Styela clava: one gene and its partner. The protein of the gene in region 1 purifies or fractionates together with the protein of each later gene. This does not show direct contact. Links are inferred from orthologs where the notes say so. Each region holds a gene or a part of one and is shown on either strand. Other genes may lie near its edges.

Region 1 (6,932 bases):
ATTTCTGGCAAATAATTCTGATAACGATAGTTGAAAGTATCGATATTTTACCAGGATGATTTTTTATTGCGCAAAATAATCCAATCCATGACTGGTACCGGCATTTAAAATGTCATGCCGTATTAATTTAATTCTGTTCAACGTAACTCAACGTACTCGACAATCTGTGGACATAAAATGTGTGGTAAACTGACCGATATTATTAAATATTGATTCCTATTTTTATATTGATAAAATAATGAAAGTATTAATACCAAATACAACGGGTATTTGTGGACATGAAATACGTGGTAAACTGCCCAATTATAATTAATTTCGGATTCGTATTTACAAAATATTAAAACCATTATAATTCTAAAATGCAACGGCGATCTGTGGCCTTAAAATGTGTGGTAAACTGCCCGATTTACCAACATTTGAGTTATGATAATAGAATTAAATTAACACAGTAAGGCATTTTAAGTAGTGGTATCAGTCATGGATTTGGATATTTTGCGCAGCACAAAATCATCCTAGTAAAAAGTCCATACTTTTAAATACAAACCAATGGCAACCATTATCCAAATTAGTTCCCAAGAGCGGGATAAAGAATAAATTCTTTTTCCGACTTGTGACAATTTTTCGTGAGTACGAAAATAAGAATCAAAAACTAATTATATTCGGCACAATATCACGGCAATCTGTGGACATAAATTGTGTGGCAAACTCGCGATTAATATTAATTTTTGATTCCTATTTTCGTATTTACAAAATACAACGGCGATCTGTGGACTTAGAATGTGTGGTAAACTACCCGATTATAAATAGTTTTTGATTCCTATTTTCATATTTATGAAATAATAAAAGTATTATTACTCAAACATACAACGGCGATCTGCGGACTTAAAATGTGTGGTAAAGTTCCCGAATATAATTGATTTTTGATTCGTATTTTTGTACTCACGAAAAAATTGTCACAAGTCGGAAAAATACCTCATACTTTATCCCGCTTTTTGATAAATAATTTGGATAATGGTTGGTATTTAAAAGTATGGGCGTTTTACTAGGATGATTTTGTTTTGCGCAAATATTCCAATCCATCATCGATACCACTATTGTCGTATTAATTTAATTCTGTTAACATGACTCATGGTACTGTATAGAAAATATATACTGCAATAATCTGCAAATAAGAAATGCCTGGATATTTGGCAAGGTTGTAACTTTAGATAGCAGTTATTCCATTGCTTATTGTATGGAAATTCCTACATACATTTAGATAAGCTTCAATTAGTGGATTTTATTTCCGAAGTATTCGAAATTTCATATTCGAAAAAAATAATTTCGAATGTATTCGAAATAGTGAACTATTCGATATTGGCCATCCCTGGGTAAACCATTTTCCTGAAGGAAGCTTTAGACAAGATACCAATCATAATTATGTGGAAAACTAAATTAGAACAGAGTATTTACCGTACATTTAGGGTACCATACAACTTGTAAAGTGTAAAGTAGGCGAACAAAATTAGTTACCTCCATATTGGTACACATACTCTGGAGCGCCCATTCTAGTATATCCTATTCAATTTGTTCACTGACGACTGGGAATATGATTCGAAACAGAGATTTATAACTTACAACAAGGGATAAAAAAAACGAACATGTCAAATATGCTTGAAAAACGTGGATAATTTAATAATATAATCGGAATAAAAATTCTCCATTTTAGCTCATCCCAGGTTTTACGTCCACAACACCAGTATAATATGACCAAGACATCATGACAAACGATAATTTTTCACAATTTCAATGCTTTTAAGACCCGCAAAAAATAATTATGACCACGAATTCATCATTTTGATCAAACAATGGATGGAAAATACCTGGTTTGTGATGTCATAGACAACAATTGCTGCTTGAGCGCCTCTGTAATACATGGGCGCAAGACTGTGGTATCGCTCCTGACCAGCAGTATCCCATATCTCAAATTTTACTGTCGTATCTTGAAGACAGACTGTCTGTGTGAGAAATGCGGCTGAAAAAAAAAAATATTGATTTACCAAGTAAAATATTGCTAATCAGACCAATTTACATCCAAAATTTAAATTATTTTATGAACGTCCATTCAGAGACTTTCTTTTTGAGAAAACCACTCAAACCAGTCAGTATATTGTCAACTGATATCTACAGTACAGTTCTTTCAAATAAAATAGCCCCGACATATCAGAGGGTGCATGTACAGGAAACAAGAATTGTAAGAAAAAATTAAGTAATTGGTTATCAGTAGTTTATCTTTCACTATACTGAAAGTAGGCCAAGACATACAAATTTGGTAATCTCGTAGTATGTGTACCAGGTTAAGGTTAGGCCATAAGTTTATTCCGATTTTCCCTATTTTAGTTCTATTGAAAGTCTGGGACTTTCTGTGTTAGCCAGGTGGATATACACAGTGGTGGGATTTCAAATTTTTTGTCAGCCGGTTCCATCATAAAAATGTCGAATTTTCAGGCGGTTCTGTTACAAAAAGTCATGTAATGCTAACCGGTTCGCTGATCTCATAAAATTCTGTGAGACGGTTCTATTGAACCGGTGCGAACCGGCTGAATACCACTACTGGATATACCCCCTGCGAATAGGCCGATGTACAGTAGGCGAATAAAATTAGTTACTTCCATATTGATACACACACTTCTTGTGCGCCTAAAAGTGCAATAAATTATGAAAAAACGGCATTTCAGGATGAAGGAGACTTGGAAAACCAATACTGGCTATTGTGCAGCGGCACTCATAATTGAGGGATTACTGTCATTACTCTTAGTTGAGACTTGAGCTTTGCTTTAAGAAAACTTTATTAAACGTAATTGAAAATTATTCGACTTTTGACACCAAGACTGCACAATTAAAAAAAAATGACTCCACCCACCTCCTATTGTAGACTCCTGATACTCATGGAATTGCCCTTTTACAAAACGCAACACCAAGCTACTTTTTCCAACAGCTGATTCGCCGAGAAGTACAAGTTTAAACTGACAGATTTTCCCAGGGCCTCCAGGCCCGTTCGGTCTTTGTTGTGGGGATCGTGCAGCCATTATATTAGTTTATTTATTATATTTAGTAATCTCAATACTGTAATTCTGTTAAAAAGTGATATTAGAAATTACTGTTTGACTGTCAGATGTCAAATGCTCAAAATACCAGCTTTTCAAATTAAAATGTTCCTAAAATCCAGAAGTTTCTACATTAAATATAACTACCGTAATTTAGAATGTACCAATCAATTTTTAACTTGTATTGAAATTCCATCATTTGAAACAATGGCTCCCAAAGTTGATTGACCACAGTTCAAAATTAGAAGCGAAAGGATATAGGGGAGCGCCTGCAAGGGACTGATGTCGATACAGGTACAAAAATTAAGATACTAATATAATTGAATTGTTACGAATAAGCACGTGCTGAGATAATAATGTAACAAATGGACAATTGGCGGTATTTAGTACATGAAAAGGTAAAAAACGTCAAGTGTTAAAAAACTATTTCACTTAAGTTCGCCAGGCCATATCAAATCATTATGTGGACCGTAACTGGCCCGCAGTTTGGGAACTATGGATTTAAAATAACACATTCTTACATCATTGGGTTTCATAGCAGTCAGCATAAACAAAAAAGCGAAAATTCCACTGACAAGATGCCACTCAAAAATAGTTTCATACCATCACCAGATAAGATGAACACATGACAAGAATACTCCTTCATAAATTCCACAAGCTAATCAAAAAAGAACTCAATTGGGTATCTATCACCACAGCACATTCTTTATTATTGCATTCCTTTTCTATAATATGCAAAGCATCAGTGTTCTAGAAACCGACAGTCCTGGCCAGGTCAAAATTAGACTAGTTATGGCCACTTTGTAGTCTCATATAGAACATAGCAAGAAGAAATATGACTTAGTTACATTTTCAATCAGTTCATTTCTTTTATGTTTATCTGGAATTTGCAAATCATTACTTCACTGCAAATTGGTACTAAAAATCATGATTTCATGACGAAAAATCATTTTATCAGGGGTAACCCACAGTTGGCCAAAGCTGAACGACTTACTAATATCAAAACATAAAAAAAAATTCCTAACATGAAATATAGGATATACCAGTATTTTTCAGTTCCCAGAATTTGAATGAAGGCCTTTTCATAAATTTGGTGCAAGCCTAGCTTCCTATCCTTCCCCTATGCCTTTATGCTAGTTGAACCGTATGTGTATGTGTATATTGCAAGGATGCTGTAGCAGAAAAAAACATGACTATTCTATCCAATTAAAGAGTCCTGCTGCACACTAACACAAATATATTTCTGTAACATTTCGTCTGACCAAACTCAAGACTTCCTCAGACAAGCAGTTTACAACAATCATTGTTGTAAACTGCTTTTAGATCATGCTGTGATATTTCAATTGCTCAAAATAATAATTTTTTAAAATGAAACTATTCTAAATATTCAAATACATTTGCATGTTCAATTCCCCAATTTAAATTATATTCAATATACCATATGCACAAATTTTAATATGAAAGGTATTACAAATTAAATATTAATACAGGTATACAATATTAAGGTATTCGGTTAGAAGATTAGTTGGTTTGGCCATCCCTCAGTAAAATATTTGGACTACAATGGACACTGTTAACATGCCTAACTATAGTGAAAACTACCGTAACCTGTTAAAGGTCAAGACAATATCTATGCAACTGCTCTTTTAACGGCATTCCAGAAGTATGTGTACCAATATGAAGGTAACTAATTTTGTTAGCCTACTTTACATCAAGTTGTATAAAGGGACTCAAACCTATGGGATGGGCAAGGGTCATATTCATTTGGCTAACACAGACAGTCGCCGAACTCGTGATAAAACTAAAATAAGGAAAATCGGAATAAAACTATGCCCTAACTATAACCTGGTACACACACTACGGGAGTACCCTTCTAACACTGTAATACTCTCACCAGTACCACAGTCCACTACCAAGAGTGAGAATACACTACTAATAAAAAGCAAACAATTGCGTAACCACCATGTATGTTTGCTGACAGTCATTCCTGTACATCGGATCAGATATCACATGTATTATTTTGTACAAAGAAGCTCATACTGAGTAAATATTACAATATCAGTAATCAGTATATGATATGTTAGAAAATTGAATAGATTCAAAATTAAATAGATTCAAAGGTGAAGGTATAGGTGACCCCAAAAAAGAGAATCCATAAATTTCTCAACTTCAGCTGAAATGAAGACAATTTATTATTAACTTTTGTTCGTTTCAGTAATCTAGGCTGGTTTGCACAGAAGTTATGTTCTATGAAGAATATATATCAAATGACTTGGGTCCTGTTTTCTTTTGGGTCACTTCGTATTTTAGAAATAATACGGAATTGTTTTATTCCAAGAAATTGCCCATCTCTGCCATTTGCCAATATCTGCCATTTACACATGACAATGAGGTCGGAGACAATAATAGGCTTATCCAAGTAACCAGGTTTGTTACTTATCGATTTTAATCGGTAAGTATGTTGATAGGTATTTGTCTGTCTTTTTTTTTTTTTTTTTTCATTGTATAGCAAACTTTCATATTTTATTACATTTATTTTTTTTTTGTTTGCCAATTGATCGAATTAATAGTTGATTAGTTCCCATCCAAATTTGATTTGATCCCATTCCCAAAAATAAACATTTGCATAGAAAAATCATGAAGGCAAAAAAATTATACATCCACAATGATAAAAATTTTTTTTTATTTGTCTGAATTTGTCTGTTAGATGCACGCGATATCTCACAAAAGCCAGATTGAATCTGCTCCAGATTTTGCATATGTGCATTCATCATATGTCATACCAGAAGCCTATTGATTTTGGATGAATTATGTCGTATAATTAGCGAGATATTAATTAATTAGTGATGGGACACAAAGTGTCACTATGGAGTAAAAGCGCTGTTTTGGGGGATCCCCTAACTTTCGATCGGTAAGTCTTCGGTCTCTGACCGATGTTCTCGTTTTATTTTTATTCAGTATCAATTGTAGGTCTTAAGACAGCCAATTTTAGGTCTCATAATATTAAATATGGATATAACAAATTCAAAATTTTGACGACACTAATTTATTCTAAATTCCTGATAAAATATTGAAAACAATAAACTAGTAAACAACAAACCGATATTACATAGATATTTTATTTGATTGGAATTTTTCAACTAAAATACACTATTCTCAAAAATTTTTGTATAATAAATAGCTACTAAATTTCTAATGAAAACAAACTGGTAATATCCTACCTAGGAAATACATAGATAGTTTGTGAACTGTTTTTATACCTTCAGTTTGTACAAGGCTCGAGATGAACTGCAGTTGATTGGTAATAATCTATCAATTACATGAACAATAACACTATTGTCTCACTATTTTCTAGGTAATCTCGTAGTATGTGAACCAAGATGGCAGACACCGGAACGTAGTATGTGTACCAGGTTATGGTTAGGCCTTAATTTTATTCGAATTTTACTTATTTTAGTTATATTACGAGTTCAGGGACTAGACAAGTGACTCGCATAGTATTTGTACCTGAATTTATGGCCTAACCCTAACCTGGTAGGCTGGTACACATACTATGTTCCGGTGTCAGCCATCTTAGTTCACATACTACGGGAGTACCATTTTCTACAGTTTCACAGAAATTGGATGAAGTCCTACTGAGAAACCTCATATCCTGAACACACAAGTTTACAAATAAAATACACCAACCTATTCTAAGAATAAAGAATTCATAATATGAAATACTAGTATAACCGTAGTAAAACCGTAGTTTAAAATTTTGATGACACTAATTTATACTAAATCCTCATTGAAAACAATAAACTGGTAATAACTATGTAGTAATACATAGATATTTCAATAGCGAAC
Region 2 (6,936 bases), on another chromosome or scaffold:
GTGTGAACAAGCTTCACATAAAAAAATTAAAAAGATTCAACCATAAGTGCAAAACTATTCATATATAAATATATCTTACGCATGCGAAAAATAATACCAAACGATCATCTTCTAATCTAATTGCAGCATATTGGATATGTCGGCTGTTAATAACAGACTAGACTAATAACAAATTTTCGGCGCAGTATGTTTCTTTTCCATACAAAATACTGACATTTGTTATACTTCGGGACGTTCGGGTTATAAAAACTCTTGCTGCAAACAATATCATCAACTCATGCAACATCTTTGTTAAAAATCAAATTGTAGTAATAAATTGTTAACATGCTTCTGTCCCATTCGCCAGAAAAGAATGATTCAGTGTTAGGAGTAGATGAAGTGTTAATTTCACAATCATTTTTTTTTTAAAAGTACTACGTAACATCTTCAATTGAATTGTCAATTACAATATTTTCATCATTAATTTGTGAATTGACTTCTAATTCAGCAGAAAGAAATGAATCAGTATTAGAAATGGTCATTGCAGCATTCAATTCAGCTTCTTTTTGTGTACCAGGATCGCCGTTATTTATTTGAGTATCTTCTTCGATATCAAGCATTGCTACATCTTCATTTGTACCTATGAAGGTAGAATTAGGAAAAAGTTGCACACTCTCGGTAGATGTACCATATCCATTTTGAGGTGTTTCAATCCGCTCAGCATCAGTTTGATCATTTTCAATATCATTTTCTTTCTCCTCTTTGTCTTCTGCATTACAAAATGCCATTTCAATTGTGTAATATACTCCCCAAAACAATAAAAAGCAAGATATCATTGTTACAAGTTTAATGGTGCGATCAGAAAGTGCGGATGTGACATCGAATTCTAAAGGTGTACCAGGAGGGCAAGGAAGACTGAAATTATCAAGATAACTACCATCCATAACAGATTCAATATATGTTTTTCGTTTTTTCATTTCATCTGCAGTCCAACTTGATCCGTACAAAGTTAATTTCCAGCTTTTTAAGACCCCCAAACTTTCCCCTTGTGGTAATTTCCTACTTGTGTCTATGACTTTCAATGTATATTTCCCAGCTGGATTTTCGCCCCAGCATTTTACTGTTGAAAAACTCCAATCGGTGAGTCCCTTATCTGATGTATCGGACCGTCGAGTTGGAACCTCCGATCTAGTTCCTGATGGACAAAGCAAAATAAACTTCAGGTTCCCTCTGGTATGGTGGGTTACAGTGACAGTGAATAAAATATACTCTAATGTTGATAACATATTATTTTTACAGTTCTCAGTTGTAACTTCAGTGTGCAAAATCAAGGATTCATGTCTATCCATAGAAATAGCTAAATTTTTATCATGGCTCGTATCGGCAGTAAGCGACGTAAACCATGGCACAGATTTCCACACTTTGGCGGCATTTACTAAACGCCACGCATCTAGAAGACCAAAGCCGTGGATATTACTATGTCGAAATCCAGCTTTATTTTGAGTCCATGCGGTTGCATGGTCAACTTCAACAGCAGTCATTACCATAATATGTTGTATATCTCTCCAAGTAAGACAAGGTCTTGCTTCCAACATCAGTGCAACCATTCCAGCTGCTAATGGCGTAGCTGCAGATGTTCCAGTATGACTATGCGTACATTGATCAGCTGAATTACCAGGTGGAAGTGACCAGTCTGTTGTTACAATGTCTCTTATTAATAAACCAGAACCAGAGCTGACAGAACAAGCTAGCATAGAAGCACACTCTTCCGCATATGATGGTTTATTGCCCATTTCATCAATAGCACCGATTGTAATTGTATAAATTGAGCTTGCATATCCATCATAATTACAGTTGTCTCCCTTAAGACCACCATTGCCACTTGCCACGACAAATATTGAACCAAATCCATCCCTTCCTGCGACAACACCATGTTGTAGTGCCATACGACCCAAATCATGAGGACCATCAACAGTTTTGCCATCATCTTCCGGGCCCCATGAACAACTGTAAATATCATTTACATCCATATGTTTGTTAAAAGCAGTTGCCTCTGACGAATCTGTAGTTGTACCATCCAGAACCCTGATTCCGCTAAATTTTGAACCGAATGCAATTCCAACACCACAAACTGAATTTGGAACTGCGGCAATTTCACCCGCACACCTTGTACCGTGTTTATTTTCTTCTTCTTCATCATAAACAGGCGAGGGATCATCGTCGTTAGAATTTAAATCAAAACTTCCTTCTTTACAGTAATTGTCTTTTAAATCTGGATGTCGCCATTCCACGCCATCATCTACTACAGCCACGACAATCCCTTTTCCAGTGATGTTACGAGCCCAGACTCCAGTAACATTACAGTCATATCCAATAAGATTTTTTAAATGCCATTGTTCATTATACAATGGATCATTGAAGTGCAATAAATTTGGCACATTAATATGCGAACGTTTCGTTCGCTTCAAATCAACTTCTTTACTATGCCACTCTATGTGTTTATGGTTATCAAAAAGCTTCAATAAATGGTCATGATTATTCGTATCTGATTCAAAAAGATAAAAGCCTGTCAACTCTCCGATCTGTCCCTTATTAAATACGCCGAGTTCGTCAGCAATGCCATTCGCAAGTTCATCAAAATGCTTCTTGTGTGAATGGTTATCGTCATAATATTTTATCTTTATGTTCCATGTATGTGTACTATAATTACTAGTTCCCAGAATGAAATGGATGAATGTCAAAAATACAATGACTGAAAGTTGCACCAAGTGATTCCATCTTTTAATCATTTTCCAACATGTCTTAATTATTATAAATCTACAGTGACATCTAGAGAATTGATTAGAAAAATATTAAGAATTTTAAAATCCGGATAAGCATATTTATACAATGCATTATGGACAAGTGCAAGATCGCGTAACTTAATAATATTATCATATAACGAGCCTAGCAAAGTACACGCCGTAAGTGCCTAAATACCGCCTTGAATAACTGCTTACATATCGTAAAACAAAAATGTAATGTGAAAATGCAGCCCAAACTTCAATTTTTCAAAAAATAAGTGTCTCACGTGGAACCTTATTGATAACCTATTTGGTGAACTGGCATTTATCAAAAATTTCATTCCGTGCCAGACATACTTTTTAAAAAAAAAACATCAAAATTTCACATCACAATTTTGTTAGGCATTATTTAAGCAGTTTTGGTACTCATTTAACTTCCACTACTTGTTTTTTGGCATTATTTTAAGAGGAGTTACAGAGTTACGAAGTTTACTTTAGACTGAGGCTTCTGTTTCGATTTGGATGCTTTTACTGGTATACAAGAAGACTAAGAATGTGTTTGTCATTTAGATACCTACCTACCAGCCTACGGTATGCTATGAGAACGCATTTGTGTGAAAAGTCAGAAACCTGGAAACTGCATATTATGACAACCGAGAACACAGATTTCGATATTTCTCCACTTTACCTCCATACCAAACATATATATATATAAACATCATATGGCAAAAATTGTATCTCATTTCCGCATAGAAGTTAACGTACCGTACTAGTTCAGCAGTCTGTTGGCACTCTACATACCGTACACAGACATAAAATAAATACTGTGCAATGTTCACCGGCATTCATTCATCTTTTAATTACATTTTGTCAATGGCACACCTCTCGATAACACTCTATATGAATTTCTAAAGCTATTTTCCTGTCAATAGCTCACATTAATTTTTCATTACAATTCCTCAACTCACCTGAACTTTACGGTAATTCTGGAAGAAAATGACTCCCGTACGGTACTCCAGTGCCTCCATCTCTGATGAACTGCCACTACACTGTCACTGCAAATGATATTTGCCTTATGTCTGATCGTGAGAGGGCGCAAAAGAGTTGAAGTATCACCTTCTGGTTTTCGGGGATTTTATCGATTTCTTCTGATTTTGCATTATTTTTGTCTTTATCAGTTTATGGCGGCGTTTTCGCCTTCTGGTAGTGGGATGGATTCGACTGAAGGGGATTCTGTAATGGAGGGTTTTCTATGTCCAATGTGTTTACAGGATCTTCAGTCTTTTCATAATCTACAGTCTCATTTTGAATCAGAACACTCTAATGAAGATAAGGCTGTTATGAGCCAAATCAGAGGTAAATGAAACTAACACCCCAAACTTTAAAGCTATCTATTATCATTTCTTTGATCTGTTAAAGGTGACTTTTCATGCTGTTGTTCATTTTTTATTTATTTCTTTATCTACTGATCTGGTAAACTCGGTATATAATATTTGTATTGTCAACTTAAATGATTACCGTACTGAGAGTGAACGCCATATCGCAGTGAAACATAGCAAGTCGGGATTTAAGAGCCCCTTCATCAGTCTTGCGGAATGACCCACATAATGACATGGAACAATATTATCTGAAAATGTGGCTTTTATATTCAATATCGTAATACATTATTCATTAGTGTTGATGTTGTTTGTGAAATATAGACTCGCTCTTTCCCTCCTTATGCCAATTGCCGATTCCAAATATACCGGTATATGCCTCATTTTTACAAATCAATCGTATGTCATGGCATAGTTTATTTCTGCCACTGCTGAGTCGTTGGTGCTGGGCTGTTGATATCTGACAACCAGTGTGATTAAGGCTTGAGTCATTGACTTGATTTCAGTCACCATTTACCGGGACTCATAATCAACTAACCGCCAGTTGAACTTGACTTGAGAATCGTACGACCAGTCTTAACTCGTGACTTTGGGACTTGTATTAACTCTGCTGAAAAAATCATCCTGAGATGAACAGATATGCCCAATCATGTTCGATTTGAAAATTTTCTGGATATTCACCTTCACATTACATCCTTTTTGAATAGTAATGCTTTTGGTGTTTTGTTCAATGTAGCATATATATATATATATATATATATAAAATCTCTTCAGTATTCACCTTTTTAAATATCTTACTATTCATTTTCATCATAATTTATCGCTATTTTCAGGCCTGTTTTCCAAAGCCAAAGATAAATTATTAGGAAGAGAATATGAAGAGGATGATGATCGAAATCCATTTTCAAATTTTCAATCCTCATCATCAAACAGGAGTTTATCGTTTGTAGATCCAGCTTTTTGGGAACCTCAAGAATTAGGTATTAAATGAATGAAGATAGACATATTTTACTTTTCTCTATTTTCACATTTGAGTCATGCAATATATTACTGCATTCTATGATTAATGTACTTGAGGTTGTACGAATACTTGACAGTAGTGTAAAATTTTGTTTATTCAGTTTCGGAGTTTTCCGTGCCCTATTTTTTTTTAAAGGCTTTTGCGTCGTGGAAAACTTTTTACTCTACTACAAATTCTGAGATGTTTAAAAAACGACTTCTGCTGTGACATCTGGATGAAATAAATTTTGTCTCTGGGCCCCAAACCGTAAATTAAAAAAATTGTTACTCAAAACCCCAGATTCCATCTCAATTTTAACCATGAAAACTTCAATGTACACAATCTGTTTAATTGTTTATTGAGACTGCTTAGTCAGCCTAATGCTTTTCAGGTTTCCATTTGTAATCTGACTTCGATCACCACCATAAAAATTATGGATTTTTGTCTTGGCACGATTAAAAACATGACTTCAGCTTTAACTCCCAATGTTTACTTCCAGATACTGACTCCACAGCCATATTTTTTTTCGCTTATTCATTCGTGTTTTCATCTACTCATCAATGCTTTTCAGGTGTTACTAAAAGTCATATTGATAAATTTAAATCTATGAGGGATGCAAGAATTGACAGAGTCGTCATTGAAACGAATAAAATAGTTATTCGACTGGAAAAGGTTAGTAAAACTAATTCATTTTGTGCAAATTTTTTTTATTAAAATAGTAAAATTGTATTGCAGTCATACACGTCTGATATTTGAAACTCTTATATAAAGTTTATGGGATTTAGGGCTGGAGGTAAAATTAAATTTATTGAGACCAGATTTTGTGACAATTATGGCATACATAGATTTCCAATTGTATTTTTGGAAAATTATATTTTAAATGGAAATTTTTTTATAATTTTAATGTTTAAGGATTAAGTATTTTCTGTTTTATTCTGTATTACATTTGGCCAATTTTTACCTTTTGGCCTTATATCCCACTACCAATTTTTCAATGTTCTTAGTTTATTTTCTGTTTTCTCATCTCCATTTACCATTTGTCATACCTTAGTTGTAGTGGTGAGTGTGATCAAAACATCAATGAAATCATTGGATTACAATTTACAAACATAAGTAACTCAGGAAACAATATATACCGTAGTTTTGTGGCAATTACAGTTCATTTGGCAATCAGTTGTCTTGCTCTCCTAGTGTGGATGTTTATATCTGTATTGTCTTGTATCCTACAATAATGTCTCACTGTAAAGTCCATCATGATATATGCGATGCATTAAATTAAAGTTTCACAGAAAAGCAATTTAGTAATGGAATAGTTGAAAAAACGATGATGCATATGTGGAATTTTATGTTTTTGGCATTAGATTTCAACTTTCTCTAATTTCTATCATCATAATCTAGATATATTTCATGTTTTATGTTACTATTCTCAAAATTGTCATGCGTCATTTTTTTTCATCTCTAATATTATTGCATTATGGTAAATGAGGATATGTCTATCCTTAATTTTGCAGCTTTTGAAACCAGTCAGGTTTAATGGAAAACGTAATCACAAAGGTTATTTGTTATTATAGGACATAGTTTTATGCATGCTACTCTTCATGGTGTTTACAAGGCATGATTTATTAGCACAAATTGGATAAGTGTTCGCTTTAATCGTTTATGTTTTATGTCGAACAACCTGTTTTCTTTGCATGTTTCTGCTGCGCTACTTTTTTTTTAATTTTTCTCAACATTTTTAATGGATTAAAATTTTTCACTTCGTTGCAGTAGTTATTATTAAACTTCACTTTTGTTCGTT

Evidence for each region. Proteins that work in one complex are often made in the same cells at the same time.
Region 2: the proteins of ras-related protein Rab-5B-like (region 1) and rabenosyn-5-like purify together in Drosophila melanogaster (affinity purification with western blotting; 3 studies listed by BioGRID, with this or other methods). This does not show direct contact. The link is inferred for Styela clava from reciprocal best matches to the Drosophila melanogaster genes Rab5 and Rbsn-5.

The regions. Positions count from the first base shown.
Region 1 is NC_135261.1:2,886,141-2,893,072, reverse strand, and holds the start of ras-related protein Rab-5B-like, read right to left. Parts: upstream 3,116-6,932; 5' UTR 3,069-3,115; coding exon 2,903-3,068; intron 2,015-2,902; coding exon 1,863-2,014; intron 1-1,862.
Region 2 is NC_135258.1:11,764,769-11,771,704, reverse strand, and holds the start of rabenosyn-5-like, read left to right. Parts: upstream 1-3,875; 5' UTR 3,876-3,943; coding exon 3,944-4,118; intron 4,119-4,971; coding exon 4,972-5,118; intron 5,119-5,709; coding exon 5,710-5,810; intron 5,811-6,649; coding exon 6,650-6,692; intron 6,693-6,936. Other genes in the region: proprotein convertase subtilisin/kexin type 7-like, read right to left, coding at 414-2,768.